4 linked regions of the Saccharomyces cerevisiae S288C genome follow. The protein of the gene in region 3 binds, or shares a complex with, the protein of the main gene of each other region. Each region holds a gene or a part of one and is shown on either strand. Other genes may lie near its edges. A codon is read from its position in the direction of its gene.

The links.
Region 1: DAD2 (region 3) and DAD1 share a complex: the UniProt entries of both Saccharomyces cerevisiae proteins name them as parts of the DASH complex.
Region 2: the proteins of DAD2 (region 3) and SPC19 are in contact, whole or in part, in a cryo-EM structure (PDB 8Q84), measured with the Saccharomyces cerevisiae proteins. Residues at the interface, in NP_013009.1 of Saccharomyces cerevisiae: Ile10 (codon at 875), Lys13 (codon at 866), Glu14 (codon at 863), Ser17 (codon at 854), Leu18 (codon at 851), Ile21 (codon at 842), Leu24 (codon at 833), Thr25 (codon at 830), Gly27 (codon at 824), Leu28 (codon at 821), Gln31 (codon at 812), Leu32 (codon at 809), Glu34 (codon at 803), Leu35 (codon at 800), Gln38 (codon at 791), Glu41 (codon at 782), Met42 (codon at 779), Asn45 (codon at 770), Ser48 (codon at 761), Val49 (codon at 758), Gln51 (codon at 752), Leu52 (codon at 749), Asn55 (codon at 740), Ser58 (codon at 731), Asn62 (codon at 719), Gln65 (codon at 710), Glu122 (codon at 539), Thr123 (codon at 536), Met124 (codon at 533), Val125 (codon at 530); in NP_010487.3 of Saccharomyces cerevisiae: Met1 (codon at 998), Thr2 (codon at 995), Leu5 (codon at 986), Glu6 (codon at 983), Ser8 (codon at 977), Val9 (codon at 974), Leu12 (codon at 965), Glu13 (codon at 962), Val16 (codon at 953), Leu19 (codon at 944), Lys20 (codon at 941), Val23 (codon at 932), Leu26 (codon at 923), Lys27 (codon at 920), Asn30 (codon at 911), Ser33 (codon at 902), Thr34 (codon at 899), Ala37 (codon at 890), Leu41 (codon at 878), Thr43 (codon at 872), Lys44 (codon at 869), Arg45 (codon at 866), Val46 (codon at 863), Phe47 (codon at 860), Arg48 (codon at 857), Leu49 (codon at 854), Val50 (codon at 851), Pro51 (codon at 848), Glu52 (codon at 845), Tyr53 (codon at 842).
Region 4: DAD2 (region 3) and DAM1 share a complex: the UniProt entries of both Saccharomyces cerevisiae proteins name them as parts of the DASH complex.

The regions. Positions count from the first base shown.
Region 1 is NC_001136.10:477,606-480,811, forward strand, and holds DAD1 (Dad1p), read right to left. Parts: upstream 1,154-3,206; coding exon 869-1,153; downstream 1-868. Other genes in the region: HED1 (Hed1p), read left to right, coding at 192-680; inositol polyphosphate kinase KCS1, read right to left, coding at 1,510-3,206. UniProt on the Saccharomyces cerevisiae protein: Component of the DASH complex that connects microtubules with kinetochores and couples microtubule depolymerisation to chromosome movement; it is involved in retrieving kinetochores to the spindle poles before their re-orientation on the spindle in early mitosis and allows microtubule depolymerization to pull chromosomes apart and resist detachment during anaphase.
Region 2 is NC_001136.10:853,597-857,314, reverse strand, and holds SPC19 (Spc19p), read right to left. Parts: upstream 999-3,718; coding exon 501-998; downstream 1-500. Other genes in the region: RAV2 (Rav2p), read left to right, coding at 1-417; VPS64 (Vps64p), read left to right, coding at 1,222-3,036; RKM2 (protein-lysine N-methyltransferase), read left to right, coding at 3,343-3,718. UniProt on the Saccharomyces cerevisiae protein: Component of the DASH complex that connects microtubules with kinetochores and couples microtubule depolymerisation to chromosome movement; it is involved in retrieving kinetochores to the spindle poles before their re-orientation on the spindle in early mitosis and allows microtubule depolymerization to pull chromosomes apart and resist detachment during anaphase.
Region 3 is NC_001143.9:595,921-599,320, forward strand, and holds DAD2 (Dad2p), read right to left. Parts: upstream 903-3,400; coding exon 501-902; downstream 1-500. Other genes in the region: NUP133 (Nup133p), read left to right, coding at 1-378; ribosome dissociation factor GTPase HBS1, read right to left, coding at 1,135-2,970; mitochondrial 54S ribosomal protein mL58 MRPL20, read right to left, coding at 3,174-3,400. UniProt on the Saccharomyces cerevisiae protein: Component of the DASH complex that connects microtubules with kinetochores and couples microtubule depolymerisation to chromosome movement; it is involved in retrieving kinetochores to the spindle poles before their re-orientation on the spindle in early mitosis and allows microtubule depolymerization to pull chromosomes apart and resist detachment during anaphase.
Region 4 is NC_001139.9:716,996-720,424, reverse strand, and holds DAM1 (Dam1p), read right to left. Parts: upstream 1,533-3,429; coding exon 501-1,532; downstream 1-500. Other genes in the region: chromatin-remodeling histone chaperone SPT6, read right to left, coding at 1-16; cytochrome oxidase assembly protein SHY1, read right to left, coding at 1,898-3,067; YGR111W (uncharacterized protein), read right to left, coding at 3,395-3,429. UniProt on the Saccharomyces cerevisiae protein: Component of the DASH complex that connects microtubules with kinetochores and couples microtubule depolymerisation to chromosome movement; it is involved in retrieving kinetochores to the spindle poles before their re-orientation on the spindle in early mitosis and allows microtubule depolymerization to pull chromosomes apart and resist detachment during anaphase.

The sequences.
Region 1 (3,206 bases), on a different chromosome or scaffold from region 3:
GTCGCTAACATGTACAATATTTTAATGTATACTCTCGCATATTTATATTTTCGTTTTTCACGGCTTTAATTAGCGTACGTGGTTTCTGATTTTTGCTTGAGTAATGCACTATTTATTAAGATAGCCGCCCAGGTTAAATTCTTGAATTACAACTACATGTCAGAGACGAACGAAAGAGAGAAATCAAGACGATGCAACAAAGATCAAATAGGAGAAGCTGCTCCTATATACCACTCGGGGTACATAATAATGCCGAAAAGAGCTTGTGCACCGAAGTTGCTCCAGCAAGAAAGAACAAAAGGTCTATTACGACTTCTCCCATAGTCAACATCAACGTTGTAGAAAGAAGACTGTTTAATTTGGAATTGGAAAAACAACAACTTCGTGCCAAAAATCTGTCTGAGAACACAGGTGGCGGAAGCCCCAATGGGGGTGCTTATCTGGACGCCAAAAAAGGAGTAAGAGAACAAGATCAATACCAAGGAGGTCCCTCGAAAGAGCTTGACAGGCTACAACCACCACCTTCAATGAAGAAAAGCCCTCCAAGGAAGAAGAAGAGCCTAAAGGACTTGATATATGAAACGAACAAGACATTCTATCAGGTGGATTCTAACAAGGTTAAATATAAGGTAGGTCTATCCAAGAAACAGCTATTACCATCCAAAACGGTAGACAACTAAGTTCAAAGAGGAGAACGTTTGAAAAAGAGTTCGGTGGCCCTCCACTTTTTTCAACGTGCAAAAGTTGTCCACAACTTACTTATCATTAGGCTAAAATTACAATTTATATCTTACGTATCCTTTATCTAATTTGCGACTGTAAACATAAATTTAGGATAATATTAGGAGAGACAGAGGGAACCGCAACTTTACTTCGTTTTCGATTGAGATAAAGTAGGTTGCTCGTCGATGGGCGCTTCGTCTGATAAACTTTCCAACCCATCATAAAGTGTTTTCCACAAATCAGAAACTGACTGGAATTCTCTTCCCACAGCTATCGAGCTCTCCAATGATATATTGAGACCATTCAGACCATTCAAGATTGAATTCATAGTCTCATTGATCTCCTGCAATACTATATTCCTCTGCTCGATGAAGTATTTGTCAGTGGTTGATATCAACTTTTCTTCATCATTGGATGTACTAGCCATCATATGTACATATATCCTCACACGTCCGAGCTCTTCATCAGTCCTATTCCTACGCTAATTACTACCTCCTCTTGTTAAAGGTGACTGTTTATTCCCTTTGTTATTTTCGCGGCCTTGACTTTTACCCGGAGGTGGCCCTTTCCGCTCAATGGTTCTAGTGATCGCCTATAACCGTGTAGTCATATTCATACACGTACAAATTCGTTTGTCTTTTCATATATATAGTTATATATGCTATGCTCGTTTGTGTATTTATTGGATTATGCAATCAAAATAATGATAGTTACGAATAGATAAATGCATTTACGGACTGAAATAAGCGCAGCTAAAAGAATATTCATTAGTTCTATCCTTTCTTTTCAATCACTAACTTGAGCATCGTCATTGTATCTTGGTTCAGCGTCGAAAATAAGCTCGTATTTTCTCCATTTTTGTCTTAGTTTACTATTTGGATCATTATACATTTCTTCGTCTTCTTTGTCAAATTCATCTAACCAATCCCACTTACTGTTGAAGTTGATTTTCGAACCGGTGGCGGAGGTGAAACTATTCGAATCTGCTTCTTCGCTAATCATATCATTCATCTCTACTTCATCGAAAATTAACGGCATATCAGAAGTCAGATAATTCCAGATTAATAACAGATAAAACCTCAAGCTCTTCACACCTCGTAAGAACCCTTTATCTTCTATATTTGGCGATTTTGGGGGTATACGAAATTTATCCATACATTCCATTGCATCTTCTTTAGTAACACAACGTGCAAAATCGATCAAGTTGACTTTAACATTAGCAGCTTTTTTCCTTTTAGAATTTGATTTATTAGCATCTCCATCGTACATTAGTAATAAAGACGCGCCATATAGCCTGTAACCTTTCAAATTAAAAATTTCAGAATACAAAGTATCTAGTTGCTTGATCAACCTTGGAATTTGCCTGATTAAACTTTCAATGGTCTTACCATCATACAAAAAACGTGCAAGTACCCTAGCAAATTGCCAACCAACCTTAACCCTTCTACCAAAGTATTTATCTCTTGTGATATAATAATCTTTGTTCCAAACCTTTAATCCGCAGATTCTAACGCCTAAACGCCTAGAAGTGGTCTTTAAACACTTTGCACGCTGTGACAGTTGCTTGGCTCTTTTGGCGTCTACGCCATATTGTCTTGTCCCCATCTTTAGATCCAGTGCACAAGGCTTGTTCATGTTTCTTGTCAAATCTTCCAATAAGATAAATTTTGAAACAATGGTGTGGGACGTCTCCTCAAACGTAATTGATTCAATATCATGATGACTATAGTCATTTGAAACATTATACGCCAATGACTTTATAATCATGTTTTTACCAGAGTCAAGATGGCAGCCGTGGTTATCCATATTTATAGTTTCGTTTCCCGTATCTTCATCCATATCAAAAACACCATCTTGTGCGTTGCTGATATAATTCGGGGAGGTGGCAAATTCGCCATCATCTCTAGAATTGGTTGCAGTGAGAATGGGTGATAAAGAGTTGCAGAAAGAGTTTTTATGTTTTATTTGTTCGTTTTTGTGGAATTGCTTCAAATCCATTACTGAATGCGAGCCATCTAAAGCATTAGATATTTTTTCATGAAGCGATTTTTTCAAGAAAGGATCCTGCAAATTCGGATTGACTTTCGAGTCATCCATCTGTAAACTCGCTTGTGACGATGAATCACCAAGAGTCTTCATAGACGTATTCGATGCATCATGGGACGAGGCTCTTGATTTTTGTGTTAAAAAAGATGGACTGGAACCCAAACGCGCATTATGGTTTCCCATTGTAGTCGTATTAGAGTTTCTTTTCCTTCTAAAACATTTCGGTGCAAATACTTCCCTTATGACTAGGTTCTTCAATTCAGTATTGATCATGGTGGACCCAGAATCGCGTCTTTTTAATTTATTTGTATTGCCACGCTCACCGAACGAACATGAGTTATGAGAAGAGGAGGACGAAAAGTACGAATCATTCGGTGCCGAGTTTGGAGAATCGGAATATTTGTACCACAGAGATTCCGGTATAATATGCCTGTTAT
Region 2 (3,718 bases), on a different chromosome or scaffold from region 3:
CTTTGCATAGAACTACGAAATCTAATTAAGGTGACTAAAAAACCTTGGTGCGAGATTGATAGTAAAACTGGCAGGTCATTTTGCGACCAAATAAGAAATCAAGTGACAAATGAAAGAAACAAAACTTTATCTAAGATCCTCTCAGAAAACGGTGTACAAGTCCAGGATTCCACATTACTTAACCACATAATTTCTTCTTTTCAAAGTGAAGCTATAACACTTCCAGAAGCTCAGGAATTATTAAGAAGGGGCGTTACTTTCGATAATAGGGTAGTCATGGAATGTGAAAAGTTAATAGTATCTACAAGTGATCCAACTTTGATCAGTATAAGCGCCAAATTGAACAGTCTCAAAGCTTCGATGGCGAACCATCAAGCAAATTTGGTAGCTAGCAAACAGTTAAGTACATATAAGTAATCTACTAGCGATAACATTAACAATAATTTATAATACAAACTGGATAAAGAGATAAATGGATGCTTTAAAAAATAAACTTCTAACTATTTCTGTTTGAGTATTTCCAACTTATTCTCCAGTTGCTTCTTCTTTTCCTTTAGTTTCTTCAATTCTTCCAATTCCTCATTAGTAGAAGATGCCATCATAACCACGTCGTCCGCGTCTCTGCCTTCGTATTCTTGACCCATGTCTGGACTATTCAGAGCATCATCGTCATCCATACTAATGTTCTTCTTTAGCCTTAAATCGTTTAATTCATAAGTTTGCTGCAAAGTATCGAGTTCCCTTTGCATTCTACCCATAGATTTACGTAACTTATCGCCCAGAGTCCTAACCAGCGGTTCTACCTCTTCAATCAAATCTAATTTTGATCTTTCAACATCATATTCGGGAACTAAACGGAAAACCCTTTTGGTTTGCAACATTGTCGATGCAAGGTTCGTGCTTGGCTCATTTGCACATTTTAAAGACTCCACAGAATCCTTCAATACTGAAACTGTTCCCTCCAACGCAAGGACGCTCTGTTCCAAAGCATCTGTCATGGTTATTTTGCCTATCCTTCAATTCGTACACAGATATATGCGTCTGTGATCTGTTTATTATTCATTTTCATTGTTGCTAACTACTACGCCCTGTGAAAACAAACTTTATAATCGCCAATAATAAATACATAATGAAAGTAAATCGCAATCCGGACCCCACGGATAGTCACCAGTCTCACCAACTGGAAATTAGAAGGAAGGAAGACAACTGTAAATTCTTGGCATGGTAGAACTGGAAAAAAGAAGACGGCCCCCTCCGCAACTGCAACATTCTCCCTATGTTAGGGATCAATCGAATTCGCAGGGAATGACAAAGACGCCAGAAACGTCACCGCCTAAGAGGCCCATGGGAAGAGCTAGATCAAACTCGAGAAGCAGTGGATCCCGTTCAAATGTCGATATAGATCAGTATACCATACCACCAGGCTTAGATTTGTTGCCTACCGCTTCATCTCCACCTTCCGTCCATCAAGTTTCACAACAGCAACAATTATCCCCAATATTAGCCAACAAAATCCGTTCTCCATTTGAAAATCAAAGTCAGGATCAAAATGACAATTCAATAGACCCAACACCGGCTGGACAAGTAACAATTCCTGTAGAAGCCGTATCTCCACCGGCACTGGACGAATTATCGAAATTCCAAAATGGTTCAACTGAGACATTATTTAGAACTGGATCACCCCGTAAGAAGCATACACATATTATTATACTCAAATCCTTAAATGCAACTTTTGAGACCAAGTTTCTTGTTGTACCATTTAAACCTGACGGACTTAAATTAGGTCGACCAGTTACCAATAGCGTAAACAAGAATAATTCAGGATCGAAAAGAGATTTATTTTCGCAACAAGTTAGACCAGATAACGGAAATTTTGACTCAAGAGTTCTTTCCAGAAATCACGCTTGTCTCAGTTGTGATCCTACATCAGGAAAGATATATATTCGCGATCTAAAGTCCAGCAATGGGACATTTGTTAATGGGGTTAAAATACGCCAAAATGATGTAGAATTAAAAGTTGGTGATACTGTGGATTTGGGAACTGATATTGACTCAAAGTTTGAACATAGAAAAATCAGTGCGTATGTGGAAGAGATTTCAGTAATTCCCTTAATGAACACTGTATCTGATCCCACAAATTTGGTGATGAAAAAACAAGATCATACTAATAAGAATAATGGGAACTCCACTAATATAAACGGAATAAAGATAGACAGAGGTCATCATAATCAACACATTCCAATACGATCTCATTTAAAGGAAAATTATACCGAAGCTGGTGTAACATCTGCAACAACGGCTCAAAGGGCAGCCTTTGAGGCAGCTATGTTTGGAGATATTAATAACTCAGAATTAGATGATGATATTTTAGGTCCAGAAACTGAGGTTCTCAGTGGAATTTTTATCAACAATTCAGCAGGTACAAGCATAAATTTGATAAATATGATAAAAACTTTGACTACTGAGCTGTCCTTAGAAAAACAAGAGCTGGAAAAATTACATTCCATGCAAAACTTTATGCAAAACTATACGATAAACCTTGATTTCATCAATAAGCACATGATTGATATGAATGAAAAGCATTTACTGAAACTGAGCACGGCTTTACAAAAAACTCTATCAGAAAATAATGATGCGCTACTCAAAGAATCGGAAGATCAATTAAAAGAAATCAAACAACAAAATAATAAAGTAAAATCTGCATGTAGCTTGAAGGAAAAACAAAACCATGAAAAGCTACAGGAGCTCGAAAGTGAATTAAGAGAGCTGAACCTTCAAATAGAAGAAGAGAGGGGAAAAAATTTAGTTTTAACACAAAGCAATTTTAATGGTGGTATTAACAATGACAATAACGCTAAAGTAAAACAAAATGATTCAAGAGAAGAAAAAAAGGATACCGAAGATACATTAATAAGCACTGAAGAACTAGGAGTCGTCGAAGGCAAGAGAACAAGAGTTAGTAAGGGAATGCTCTTTGGAGTAGTTGCCATTTCATTCGGTTTAGTTGCGACGGCCGTTAAGCAATTGCCACAATAACTCGAAAGAAGAAAAATACTACAAGCATAATCTACAAAGCAAAAACAGGGCTTGTCCTGTAGAAATGAGAAAAACCATATATTATAAATAAGCACATATTCCATATACTTTGAATATTGTTTTGCAATTCTGATCCACACTCTTTTTTTTCATTTTTTCAAGATTTCTTGATTAAGTAAAATTAAAAAAAAATTCGGGAACTCAAGCTAAAACTGGATGCGTCTACTCATCACCTATAGTCTCAAGATTGTCGAAGATACAGATTTTGAATAAATATCTACAAAAAAGTTACATAGTAAATTGCGAATGGAAGGAAAGGTTGATGTCTTGCTAACATGGCTGAAAAAATCAGATAAGTTTTATATAGCACCAAACATCAGCATCTGTGAATCGCCAGAAACTGGCAGAGGGATCGTCCTCAGTCACGGTTCGATAAGAAAAAACGATATCATTGTATCAGTACCGAGCTCGAAGCAACTAAATTTTCACACTATCCTCTATCATATTTCAAAGTTTAATAAAGAGCTGAATATTCCTGGTATCACAATCGATAGAAAGCCAATCAATTATGAGGACAATATTATTGAAGCGGAAAATAAAGCCTGGGCCGATCCTAGATATGGATTATATTCCGAATTATCGAAAGAGTTTTTGTTAAGTTTATCATCATTTCAATTGGTAT
Region 3 (3,400 bases):
GTTAAAAAGTTCTTGAATGCTTTGGTATGGAGAAGAATCGTTCTACTAAATGCTAGTAATGAAGGAGATAAACTGCTTCAGCATATAGTCAAACGTGTTTTTGATGAAGAACTACCCAAAAATAATGATTTCCCCTTGCCCAGTGTGGATCTTTTATGTGACAAATCGTTACTGACGCCAGAATACATAAGCGAAACATATGGCAGGTTTCCTATTGATCAGAATGCCATACGTGAAGAGATATATGAAGAAATATCTCAAGTGGAAACGTTGAACTCAGACAACTCACTCGAGATAAAGTTGCACTCGACTATTGGTTCTGTAGCGAAAGAAAAAAACTATACCATCAACTATGAAACCAACACTGTAGAATACTAATATCTATAATACAATTTTACATATATATAATAAACTTTACTGGGGAATGATAATAATAAATATGTATATGCTATTATCGCAACTGCCTTCTTCCGATTTATATAAGATCCTTTTCTTTCTGTTCATTCGTTACCATCTACCCTAATTCTGACCATTGTTTCCGGCAAGGGTACCAGATCTTCATCCTCATCATTATCTTCATCATTCTTATCATTTTCTTGCGCTTCAAGACCTGTTTCATTTGATTGTTCAGATTCCTTTTTCTTAGAATCTTTCCACGGTCCTATCTCATAATCACCCTCTGCATATTGCAATAATCCCAAACTTGCTTGCGATATATTGTTTATTATAGAATCCCAATTGTTCATCAATTGGGCCACTGAATCCGCATTCATTCCCATTTCTTTGATCTGCTCATTCAACTCTGTTAGCTGAATTTTTAAGCCATCCGTTAAACTGGTTATCTTTTGTAATGACTGAAGTTCTTTTCGCTTTATAGCAATTTGTTCATCTATTGAATCCATAATAACTGTCTGAATTATGAGTTTTTCAAACCTATTCAATAGTTTTTTAGATATATTCAGAGGCAGGTATTCTTTTGTATTGTCGCCCTCTAACCTTTTGTAAGTACTTTCATATTTTTATTTTCGCGTTACACTAAATTCAAATATTAAAAAAGGATCGCTATTAATGTGTAGAAATTGAAAAAATTACATACAGAAGCGTATAAAATTCTTATCATCTATTTTCACCCTTCTACTGAGTTATTTCGGATATTTTACCTGCCGCAATGGTTCTACCGTCCTTTCTAAGAACAACTCTTCCCAAACGGTCATTTTCATGGGCAGTTAATAAAGGAATCCACCTCTTTACTTCAATTAGTTCTATTTCTACAAATGCTCGTTGTTTAGAGCCTAGATGTCTAATCTTTTTCTTGCTTGCAGTATTGCCCTTGTCTATAAATGAAATCAATCTTTTGATTCGAGCAGGTTGCTCCTTGACTCCGATGAAAAGAATAAACGGTGTTCCTGGCAGCAAAGGTCGGTTCATGTCAAAGGTGGTCAATTCCAGAACAAAACACTGTGCTGAATGAATGGACGAATAATCAACTGATGCTGCCAAATCACCATTTTGAATATCTTCTGGATAGGCTTTGCGCAATTTCAAAGTGACAAAATCACCCTTAATGGCAACATCTGTCTCTTCGTGATTCGTTGATTGGCCCTGTTGAGAACCAACCTGAATTTTATCCACAATACAACTCTGTTCCGACGGATATATTGTCAAAGATTCACCAGGTTGAATAGAACCTGATTCCAATTTTCCTGAAACTAGTGCTAAATCGTTACTTGTTTTTTTCGATGGGATGATCTCCAACACAGAAAACAAAAACGGATCATCTTTGTTAATTCCTTCATTCTCCTTTGAAATCTTGAACGCCGCATTTTCCAAAGTAGACATTAAGTTAGGACCATTGTACCATTGTCTCACTTCATCTGTATATTCAATTTTATAAACACCTTCTCCGGAAAAGCCACTGATAGGTACCCAATTAATATTATCCTCAAAAAACCCAATATCAACCAGATATGGCAACAATTTCGATTTAATCTCTTCAAACCTTTGTTGGGACCAGTCAACATTATCCATCTTATTCATAGCAATAATCAGATTGTGAATTCCAAGACTAGATGCCAGTAGCATATGCTCCTTTGTTTGCCCATCCAAGTCAAATCCTGATTCGAAAGCATTGGTGCTACAGTCTACACAAAGTATAGCCATATCTGCTTGTGATATCCCCATTATAGCGTTTGGAACAAAATCTCTATGGCCTGGCGCATCCACAATAGTAAAATTTGCCCTATGGGTAGAGAAATGCGATGTACAAATTGACACTGTTACACCACGTTCGCGCTCTTCATTTGTCTGATCCATAATCCATGCAAATTTGAAGGATGACTTACCCATAGTTTCACTCTCTCTTTGTAGCTTTCTCAGTTGGGATTGGTTGACAATGTTCAGATCATAAAGTAGTCTGCCCATTAGAGTTGATTTTCCCGCATCAACATGACCAAGAACAACAAAACTTAAGTGAGGTAAGGCAGATTTAACAAATGCAGAAATATCATGAGGTTTCTTTGGTTTCGTTGGCACCGTAGTCTTATAGTATCTTTGAACTGTCTTTTCATCATTGGCTTCCTCACCATTGCGTTCACCCTCACTTTCTTCCTCGTCAAGCCAGTCTGGAAGCCGATCATTTGGCCTTTGTTGCGAAATTGAGATGTTTGCCAGTTTTTGAGTAACATTCGCACTCCCATTAGCAGCAGCAATTGGCTTCTTTGGTGTCTTCTTCTTCTTCAAAGTTTTCTTCAATTCCGCCAGCGTGCTTTCCAAATCGAAATTGTTGTCAAACAAAGCTAGCTTAAGTGAAAGATTATCCCAGCCTTGGTAATCCTGTAACTGCGCCTTTAGAGTAGGAAATACCTCGTTCATTAGATCATATTCATCGTCATTCAAATAATCATCAAATTCACCTTCGTCGTGAAAGTCCGGCATGTCGTCTGCTCCATCGCTGTAGTCACTGTAAGCCATCTCGATAGTCAATAGTTGTCGAAGCAGAAGCCTTTGGGTGTCTCCAAGCTGTACTTAACTCTTTTTAAATTGCTTATTGGTTAGCTTTCATGTGGTATATTCAAGTCACATTAATGGGCGTCTCCGTGCATTGTGATCAATATATGAATACGAAGTACTTATAGAGTAGTATTTACACGATTGTTATTATATTTATATAGCATTCACGCCTGGTACCACAGGAGTTTTCTACGCTTACGGTCCTCTCTGGCTATACGCCTCTTCTCCTTCCAGCGTGATTGGATTTCTTGCAATCTACTTTCCATAATTTGTACATGTTGTTCACTAGGTTTCGAGACCATGGATACAAATAATGGCGAAATGCCATATTTTGCAGCCAAAAATTTGCGTGTATACTTTTGAGGATTGTCAAGACGTAACTTCCGGATCT
Region 4 (3,429 bases), on a different chromosome or scaffold from region 3:
CTCCCGTCTCTTCCATAAAAGGCAAATTCTATGTAAAGATTCTAGGCAATTAATGACCTGTTCGCTTGGGTTATTCTTCAAAGCACAAATCAATATCTTTCTTCCTCCTTTTGCTTTAACCGTTGTCCAGTTTCTTGTCAATTTGGTTTGCCATACATAACGAAAAAAAAATGACAGTTATAGAAAATATTACCCGAATTTTCCCGCACTTTTATTGAAGACGTTATATAAAGGGGTACTAACTAATTTAAAAATCATTCATGACTCGCATAGTGGCACAGTAATAGCCTCGACCGCCTGTCCGTATCTTCTTTTATATAGATATATCATGTTTCGTTGTAATGCGGGTTGTGCCCATGCACTGCTGATATGTGTACTGCCTTCCTCCCTATTGCTATAAAGAATCAGTCAGCTCATCAAATATTCTTCTTATCCATAACTCACGCATGCTAGCGATATATTTTGTGAGGAGGATAATTCTTTGGTTGGGTTGGGCGTAGTCATCTGAAGGGGGGCCTTGTATTTATTTTTTTTTCAGTTTTCTTTGCAACAGAATGTCTGCTTTCTGTGGGTTTCCTTTCAGCACGTCCTGAGAACATTGAATTTCTGTTCTTCGTAACGGGCCCATTGACCACTCTTGCAGCACCACTTCCGAGTGATATTCGATTATTTGGATGCAGATCTCCCAAATTAACAACATTGTCGTTTTCGATGGGTAAATCAGCGCCGGAAGCAATGCTATTTCTGATTGTATGTAAGATGGACTTTCTTCTCAGTTTACTGTTGGTATTATTATTCAAACGCGTGGTTTTAGTCACGTGACCTTGAGATGATTTGGACATACCGATATTTGTTGGATTTAGAACAAAAGAAGCTTCACTACTAGTATCGTCTTCATAGTCCTCCTCATTCTCTACTTGTAAGTTGTTGCCTATCTTGGAGGGCTTCCTCTTGTCTCTGTTGTCATATGACCTGTATTTTCTTACTTGTGAGGAGGGAAATAGCGGCTGGTTAAACTGTTTGTTCTGAGATGCCTTGGCCAAATCATTTTCACCTTGTTCGTCTTTTTTTCTTTTAATCCCGCGTTCCATATTGGAGAGTTCCATTACTAAGTTATTTTTCTCATCTTCCAACGATTTCAATTGTTTAATAGCGATCAAATCGTCTTGAATATCATGAGGCGCCTGTGAGAATTCTACGCACCATGAATTGCTCATAATACCGTACAACAACGAACCTAGGGATTCATTAAGATCAGCTAAACTCTCGTGGATAAAATTTAAGCGCGTGAAATTGGAATCTAAAGTAATGATTGAATCGCTCAGTTCTCTTATTTTAGGCAACAGAAGCTGTTGTATGGTATTCTCGTTATATTCGCCAACGGAACTCGTTAATCCCTCTTGATCAGCAAATTTCATCAGGGATGAGGATTCACCCATAGACGACCTTCTTGAAGTCGGAGCGCTACCAATGGATAAACGATATTCCGTGGCAGACCTTGTGGTCCCTAATTTAGCTTTATCTTCGCTCATAGGTGAAAGTGGCAATACAAGCCTTTTCTGATATTGTTTTGGTGCAATTGCTGAGCTTATACGCTCCAAGTTTCAGTGCAATTGGACAAGTTTAACGCCAAAGGATTCATGCGTCGATAAAACATGTTTGTTTTGGCTATTATTTATCGATATTGTCCGGGCAACGCGCAATGTTCATATCTTGAGCGGCACATAAGGTATATGGATAAAAAGGTGTTAGTTATGTACAAGTTTAAATTATGTAAATGTGCCATATCCGAATCATTGTAGTTGCAAAACTAATGTGGAAAACCGTTTAGGCAGTGCTCGTGAAATTACGCGCTTCTTGGATAGAGTTCGATAGTATGGGCAGAGGAGTTTGCCGTTTACATATATTTCCTTGAATGCTTCAGTTTCTCTTTCATTAGTTGGTCTTGGGACACAACGCCCCCTCTTTTCGCCTTCCTAAGAGCCACAATGAGGAAGATTGTGCTCAAAAACGAAAGGCCATACCACGTTACCAAATATTGTAGATGGTTATTCTTTAAATCAATAGTGGGCTTCCGGCCTATGGGAACACCTGCTTTGATAAACTGTCGTTCATCGAATTCAATTGTTTGGTCTGTCGGCATTTCCTGCCTAGAACGAGGCTTCGATGTATTATTATCAACAGCTTGCGTTCCGTTTACAGCAGTCGTAGGTTCTCGTTTCCAGAACTTCCACAGGCTAGAGGTGGAATTGTTTTGTGAAGCCTCGTTTCTTGTGTGTTCCTCGATTATTGGATGGTCCTTCATGTCATACAAGGCTTGAAATTGAATGGGCGTGCACCCTGATGATCTTGCCATGTCATATATGTCTGGCACCTGCCACAATCTAGAATTTGGATCCTTTTTCGCCCATTGTAGCGAGCCTCTTTTCTTTGGAGGTCTTACTAAGCAAACCACTTTCAAGTGTTCTTCTTGAGGCAACGACAAATGGTGTAAATTTCTTGAGTCAGGAGCAACTTTTTCTTCACTTATCCACCCTCTTTCTATCAGAACTTTCTCACCGGTGTCATCTCTAATGAACGGTGTAAACAGAAAATAACCCTTTTCTCCATTTTTCTTTCTTGGACCAACAAACATCTCTTCATTGTGAAGGAAGTGTCCGGTAAGTATAACTTTACGGTATTCCCAATCCTCGCACATGTCAGGTGTAAATGACTTAGGAAGTGGTATTGGTTCATAAGTAAGTTTAGTTTCGCATGCCGCAATCAGCTTGGTTTTCCACTTCAATCTCCTTACTTGCCAAGTTCCCAAATAGAAGGATATTATTGGCATCGCGAACATCAGACCCAGAACAATTTTCTTGCCAAAGGATCTTTCTCTTCGAGAATCATCATTTGGGCTCTTACCTGTCTTGATTGGTTTCCAGTCTACAGTTGACGTTATGATGCCTCGGTACTGTTGATTTCTTGAAGCTAAGAGGTACGTGGATTTGCCAATAGCATTCTTAGTCGGAATTGATGCAGCGATTGAAAACCAACGGTAAGTGGACCTGGCGCCTAGTAGAGACATTGCTTTCCTCTTTTATTAAATCCTGAGTATGGGTTACTGAATGCAAAACGGTTAAGATGGCCCTCTGTTTTCAGTAGTCGGCGTTATAGGTGAAAAATATTTCATCATTGCATAAGAATCCCTTAAATATACTCGGCTACATCAATGCGAGCTACAAAGAAAACTGAAAGGAAAAATGACACATACGTTCAGAAGTACTTTTAGAGAAGAGCACAGAAGAGGTTCAATCTATTACCGTATGTATTAGTATATGTGAATTTTAACAGTAAATAATGATATGTAGTTTGAAACCTTGACTTTTCCTGTATAAGCAACACAATATTTGACTTAAAACCAACAGAATTTGGTATTGTTATCCCAAA